2 linked regions of the Oryzias latipes genome follow. The protein of the gene in region 1 purifies or fractionates together with the protein of each later gene. This does not show direct contact. Links are inferred from orthologs where the notes say so. Each region holds a gene or a part of one and is shown in the gene's direction. Other genes may lie near its edges.

Region 1 (3,108 bases):
TCAAGACGGACGGATGTGGTGAACAGAATCCGGTAGCTTTCCAAAATAAAACCTCCCTCAGAATAGAAAAATTTCAGCTGTTTTGGTCATCTCTTAAAAAATGCTGACTTAGGAAAGCATTATTTTGTAAGTAGCTTTTTTGTAAATTTATTTATTTTTATGATGTTATTCCTTTAGAATTTGTCCATAATGTCATGTCTTTACTGTCTGACATTCATTTCAAAAAATCCGCTGTTCCTCAGTACTCAAATATCTCTCTTTACTCCTATTAAAATACGTTTTTGGATGGGGATGGTACTTCCAATTTTACTTTAGTCAAAATATACTGCAGTGCTTTTCTTACTAGCGTACACTTTTTGGGGACTCTACCAAACCTCTGATAATACAAAATATATCAGCGATTCCTAAACAAGCTTGAAAAAATGTTTAGCAACGTGTGATATTATCTGTTGTTTTCAATGTGAATCCTAGAAATCCAGCTCCTGACATTTGCTTTCACATGTGATCCTTTTGTGTTCTGGTTTGGAACTGAAAGTCCTTTGGAAGTAATACTGTAAGACGCTGCAGATAAAAAGTTTCGTATCACACTGTCTGAGCGGTGCAGACGGTTGTCAGCTGAGCGAAGCTTTTGGAGCTCAGTTTCCGTTTCTGCTGGGCGGGAGACTCCTAAAGATGAAAGTCTGGATGCTGTGCTCATACGGAAAACACAAGGCTGAAACGGTGAGCGTCTGATGTTCTTCTGTGTGTGTGTGTGTGTCAGGTTAGCAGAGGCTTGTGGAAGAAGTATGGAGACAAACGCATCATTGACACGCCTATCTCAGAGGTGAGTGTACTGATGGTGTCAGTGTGTCATGTGTGCGTTCTCGCCTCACACCTTGTGTATCTGTGTGCTGCAGATGGGCTTCGCTGGCATCGCAGTGGGAGCAGCCATGGTGAGTTTGGGTTGTGACTGCCGTTGATCTTTCGTCAGTTAAGTGTGGGTCTAGTAAACCAAACAGGAACACAGAAAAATGACCTCATCTCAAACTTACTTTGATCAATTCTAGTTTTTACAAAAACCAGTAAGGAACCCAAACTTTGTTTTTTGTGATTGCCCTGGGGCAGTTTTGATGCACTGGTCGCTCCACCACAGTGCCACCGTTCCCTGGACCCAGTGTGGACGTGTTGTGAGCACACAATGTGAGCGAGAACATCTCCATGTCATGTACCTGGTTATTCCAGTCTTACAATAACTAAATAACTACATATAAGAGCATTTGGATTGAGACGGAAACCTTCCAAACACGACAACAAAGAGACTTTCTGGTCTGAGTTTCTGCTTGAAATTCAGACGAAACAGTCCACGAGTTGCTCTAGAAAACCCACAACATCTCACAAATAACCTGCAAAACCTGCAACCTTAGGAATTTTTGCGGATGTAACGATGACCAAAAATGTAGTGACACAATTAAAGAACACAAACCGGTGCTCTTTTTAAGGTAGATGAGCCACGATTTAAAGGCTCAGAAATCTTTGCTAGGTTTGAATTAATCACAGGTGAGAGCCAAAGTCATCAACATTTAAAAGAAAAGTAGTCTTTAATTATGTGTAATGATTCGAAATATGAACTTTTTCACTATATACATATAAAGTATTTATGTCTCTGGTAGGCCTGCACAAAAAATCACAAATTTATTGTTAGTACAATATCAAGTTGTGCAATATGCATATTTTAAAAGTCTGTGAAAGTTGCAATAAATGGTTCCTTTAAATGTGCTAAAACAGTTTTATGGCAGCTTGAAGTATTAAACAAATCCAAATCCATTTACTAGTCAGATGGAGGCCTTTATATAATGGTAGATGCTTGCCTCCTTTGTAGACGAGGGTCATTTGGGGAGTCAAGTTATGTTGACTCTTAGTTTAATTCAACTGTTGCAGTGAAATGGAAATGATATTTTTGATAGTTTTGCTATATATTCATGTATTGATCACTACTATCGCAAATTGTGAGTTTTCCTCATATCCTGCAGCTCTGGACTCAGGTGTTCTTGTCCTGATTTAATTCATTATTCACACGGAAACTTTTGGCTCACTGTTTATCATCAAATCAATAGCAAATGTATTTATAAAAAGGCATTCTCATGCTTTACATGAGAATGCCCCCTCCCTCCCTCCCTCCCTCCACTGACACACACACACCATGACCCCACACACAATGAAAACACGCATGGCTGTAATTATGAAGGAAACTTTGATTGTAAGGAAACAGTATTTGGGGAATCGTGCCAGTTGCTGGCTCAGCCATCGCCACAACGCCCACCCAGGTCGGTTTCCACTCCACAGCTGTGAGGCTGTGAGGGTGATCACCACGGCAACAACCACAGACCAGGCTGGCAGCCCCACAGGGGAAAAACAGTTCAAAGACATCAAACGTGTTTGAATACATCAGAAAATTAGATCAAATACTTAAAATAATAAAATTGGAATAAATAATCAGGTAAGAGTATCTGAAGCTGTGTCTTGAGCTTCTTCCTAAATGATGCCTGAGGTTCTCCTGCAGTCAGAGGACCTCAGCGTCCGCTCATGCTTTAAAGGAAGATCATTGAGATAAAATGAGCCAGACCATTACAACCCTCCTCCTGCAGCTAAGCCTGGTGTCTGTGTCTGATCTCCTTAGGCCGGTCTGAGACCCATTTGTGAGTTCATGACCTTTAACTTCTCCATGCAAGCCATCGATCAGGTGATCAACTCTGCGGCAAAGACCTACTACATGTCAGCCGGGCAGCAGCCAGTCCCCATCGTCTTCAGAGGACCCAACGGGGCCTCAGCCGGCGTGGCGGCACAGCACTCGCAGTGCTTTGCTGCCTGGTGAGTTTCTCTGCCTTCTTGTAGGAATATCTTTGCATCCTGATCATTTCTGCCATCAGGGGGCTCAAATCCTCGTGCCTGAGTGTCGGTGTGTTTATCTGCAGGTACGCTCACTGTCCGGGTCTGAAGGTTGTCAGTCCATGGAACTCTGAAGATGCTAGAGGTCTCCTGAAATCAGCCATCAGAGATGACAACCCTGGTGAGCCGCTGTCACAGCTTCAAGCAGCAGCAGCAGCAGCACATCAGCAGTCTGCTTTAAGG
Region 2 (4,402 bases), on another chromosome or scaffold:
CCAGGACCAGGTACACTCTGCACAATAAAACAGATCAGATATTTAATAAATAACCTAAAAAGGTGACTCTACAACTCCTGCTGCTGTTTTAGGCACATACTGCCCAGAACGCTCAGAACACGTGACCTTCCCGAGAGTTCGTGACTTTTCTTTGGCTGGGAGACATCCAGAAAAGAAGAAGGATGTTACCCCAGGCAGGCCTTCCTTCCACTAACCATTTGAAACTTTTACTTTTAGAAATACAAACATTTCCTTGCTCTTTGTCATAATTCAGGGCCCGCAGCCTACAATTTGTTTGAGAAAAATCCCAAGGCACCAAGTTACACCCTGAAGGGACGCACTAAAAGTGGAGACTTATACGGGTACCCGAATCAGGTGTGGTGATTGATACACTAAGGATTTACTTTGAGAATGCAAACAAAATCCTGATTTTCTGATATTTCTCATGCAACTGCTTAACAGAATCCAGGTCCAGCTGCATACAAAGCTGTGAATTCTGACACTTATTTGAAGAAAGCCCCCCACTACAGTTTTCAAGGTCGCAACTTTATGCCCCTGGATAAAACAAATACACCTGGTCCAGCACAGTACCATCCTAAAGGGGTAAAACAAAAGAAACCATTTTAGTCAGAATAGTTCCAAATATGAGCATTGTGCTTTTAAATATCTGAAGTGTATTCACTTACTTTTCTTTTACCAGGAATCCCTTACAAAAAGGAACGCCCCATGCTTCACCTTTGGAGTGCATCATTCAGAATACGTCTTACCTGTGTTCCGGAAAACTGACGAAGAATGAAGCACAGCGGCTAGAAATAAAGTTTAAAAGGCTAAATGTGGGCGTACTTTTGTTCATGTAGCATGTAATTATTTGGCAATTAGTTACAATTTATTTGATCTAATAAAAAAACATAGTGTTAATTTGACTCTTTAGCAAAAAAGAGGTTTAAACTCTTTGATATAGACAGTTTTCTTTCATTTCCATAGCTTTACTTTTTCATACAAGATACAGTAAATACAGTTTTGTAATAATATGAACGATTTTTAGAGACCTTCAATAAAATGATGCATTTCTGTCTGTTCAAGTACTGATTCACATTCCAATCCTATAGGGGGCAATATTGCTCTCGCAATCTGATTTGACGGCTGCCAAGACACCCGAAGAAAAACCAAAATGAAAGGTCCTTTAAAGAACAATCTTTGTTGCCTGCTCATTATGAGTTATTTAACCAATCACTTGATATTCAATTTTTATAACCACACCAGTAGATGTTTAATTTCTATTTATATCTTAATAGTTTTTCAACAAAAAAGATTTAACGCAAAATGTGTGCACATTTTTTCACGATAATTTATCATCAGGCATTCTCAAAGCCAGAATTTACGGACTGGACGAGGGAGGACAGCAACATGGCGGTCTCCTTGCGCCTGGGTCGTCAGGGAGCTCTGCTTGGGCTCAGATTCAACCAATTTAAAAAATCAATATGTCCCACACATTATTTCCAGGACCGAGTTCGACAGTTTTTTCATTCACCATGGGCGCTTGGTGAGTGTTAACCGAAAGACACGGGAATAGATTCGGTGTCGGATCATATAAGCTAACAGTAGCTGCTTTGGGGGGGATACTTACTAGTAATTTCTTCTAGTTTGTAATTTATTTGAATATACTGCAAAACGAACAAGGATGCAGAAGTCTCTGTTGAAAACTTACTATAAACATATTTTGTGTTTTCTTTAAGTGAAGAATTAGAAACTGTTGTAAAGGCAGGGTCAAATACAGACTTTATTTATAAAGTATTTTTTCACAGCCCAACACAAAAGTGCTAAACAGAATAAAATAATAATAATAATAACTATGTAATATAATAATAGAAAAAAAGAATGCCCTCACCCTCCCTACCTCCTACACACCCACCATAGTGAAATATTATAAAATGAAAAAAGCATAAAGAGCAGATCTGCAATGACCCTGTTTACAGAGAAGAGACATTCGATGGAGTGAAGGACCCCCCTGAGAAAAACAAAACACTGGAGTTAAAAGTAAATGTAAAAAGAATGAATACATACAAAATATTCCAAATACATACATAAATACATTTAAAATTGACCTACACTAGTATAATCACATATGACCTAATAAAAGCACTGAGCATGAATAAGAAATGAGAACAAACTGCTAAAACACAAAATATTCATTATTATTATTTAAATGTTCAAGTTATAGTTAAAAGCCAAGTTCAAAAAGTAGATTTTGAGCCTTCCTTAAAAAGCATGAAGTGTCTCTGTTACATTTTATTTAGCCAGATAAGAACCTGCTGAGATCAAGATCTCCTTTACAAGAATGATTTGGACAAGAGGTCAGCAGCACATTTCATGACATCTTCAGTTTTGTTTTTAAATTCTGTCTATAATAACAGGTGTTGAAATGGAAAACACAACCTAGAACAGAGATTAAACATTTGTCCCTGTTTTTTCCGCATGGATTGCTAAATTTGACCAACCCCAGAAAACATAAAGTCTTAATCGTTGACAGAATTGCTTCTGCAATAAGTGGTGAACAGAATAATGGAAAAAGAGTGTAAATGTATATTCCCTTAGCAAAAGTCACGTACATATCAAAGATCGTCTATATCAACAGCAAATGCTTTTAATTTATTTAGATTTTTCCTTAATTCAAGGTAAAAAAAAAAAGTTTGATTTTCTGGAAGTTATTTGGACAAAAACAATGAGGCAGTGACTGCAGTTGTCTAGAATACAACAGTAGAACCAGTCCAACAACTGGTTAGCTTCATCAAACTAGATAACTTTACCCCGATGTTTCCATTAGACTGTTACAGGAACAGCATGTATTCATTTGACTTTGTGTTTCTCTTCCTTCTGTTCTCGTGTGACTTTAGAAGGCAAAAGACGGGAGGGGGGTAGGCCTGCACAATATACCGCAAATGTACCGTTATCGCGACATCAGGCTGTGCAATATGCATACCTCAAAAGACGGCGGAAATCTCAATAAATGGTTACCTTAAATGTGCTAAAACAATCTCATGGCAGCTTGAAATATTGAACAGATGAATTAAATCCCTTTATGCATTTAACCAATCGGAAGGACCCGTTTACATTGTTGATCAATCAGATGAGCCCTTTTATGTTTGATGTTTGCCTCCTGCGGCGACGAGGGTCATTTGGAGTATCATTTTTAAACTGTTGCAGTGAAATGGAAATGATGTTTTTGGTTGTTTTGCTATTTGTTTATATACCGCAAATTATATCGCAATATTGATCACTAATATCGCATATCGCAAGTTTTCCTCATATCGTGCAGCCCTAGAGGGGGTATGCTGCATAAAATCAGAATCCATTTCTTATTCGGGTAGTTTATCCAGCAATTCTGTAATAGTTAATATGCTGCCATGCTTTGGTATGTGGGTGGACCATGGCAACGGATCCCAACTTTATCTGACTAATGAAAGGATTGCTCATAGAGCTTGGAGCCGGGGATGAGCAGGTATTATTTCCAACATAAACAATGACATCATATTGAGACGGAATATCTCTGATGTAACCTTCAGTTGACTAACAATGGCGTTTCCGTCAAACCAGAAGAGTTAAAGGAAATCCAGGAGAATCTGTCATTGAGTAATTGGCTTAAAAAAAAATCCAAAAGTCCAAAGTTTGAGCTGCAAATATATAAAGAAAGACATCACTTAAAAACTAACATGTATGTAACGATAAACTGTTTATGTATTCAAAAACCATATGAGAACATGAGCACTGTTTAAGCAGGGCTCTCCACAGAATCAGTATATTTTGAAGTTGCCGACTGATAATAAATTAGTTTTTAACTTTATTGAAAGTATACAATAAATGACTAAGTTGCTCTAGTTTTTCTCTTTGCCTGAAAGCTAAACTTATTTTGTCATCAGCTCTTTTAATATGTGTTTTCTGATCAGAACATGTTTGACAGAAAAGGGTAACCACTGCATGAACTAGAAACTGTTTTAAAGTCAAAAAATGTTACAACAGGGCACGTTTGCTTATTCACAGTAGATGGGAAGGAAGGTATACCACAAGCATTTTAAGCGCTTCATAAATGGAATTTAAAGCTTTGTGGATTTGGTTGTGACTCTTTTTATTTTTACATAATAGAAGAATAGGAGAAACATAGTAAGTTAATAATGAAAAGAAGAAAAAGTAATACCAAATTATTAAAAGCACATTATAAATTCCCCATGTCATCTTTTAAAAAGACTTTGTGTATTACAAGCTAAATGCCTGGCAGGTTTTTAGCAGATATACTTTTAGCAAAAGAGATCGGAAAATCTTAACATTAATTCTACTGTCAGTACATAGAAATAGCTTTTCTTAGCAATAAAAAAATACATTCTTGAAGAATTCTTAACTTGAGTTA

What was found.
Region 2: the proteins of pdhb (region 1) and pdhx purify together in Homo sapiens (affinity purification with mass spectrometry; 4 studies listed by BioGRID and IntAct, counting the BioPlex papers as one, with this or other methods). This does not show direct contact. The link is inferred for Oryzias latipes from reciprocal best matches to the Homo sapiens genes PDHB and PDHX.

The regions. Positions count from the first base shown.
Region 1 is NC_019863.2:1,306,763-1,309,870, forward strand, and holds part of pdhb (pyruvate dehydrogenase E1 component subunit beta, mitochondrial), read left to right. Parts: intron 1-760; coding exon 761-823; intron 824-896; coding exon 897-932; intron 933-2,656; coding exon 2,657-2,847; intron 2,848-2,951; coding exon 2,952-3,046; intron 3,047-3,108. UniProt on the Homo sapiens protein: The pyruvate dehydrogenase complex catalyzes the overall conversion of pyruvate to acetyl-CoA and CO(2), and thereby links the glycolytic pathway to the tricarboxylic cycle.
Region 2 is NC_019864.2:22,875,098-22,879,499, forward strand, and holds the start of pdhx (pyruvate dehydrogenase protein X component, mitochondrial), read left to right. Parts: upstream 1-1,366; 5' UTR 1,367-1,407; coding exon 1,408-1,543; intron 1,544-4,402. Other genes in the region: outer dense fiber protein 3, read left to right, coding at 1-10, 93-194, 275-375, 463-603, 701-796.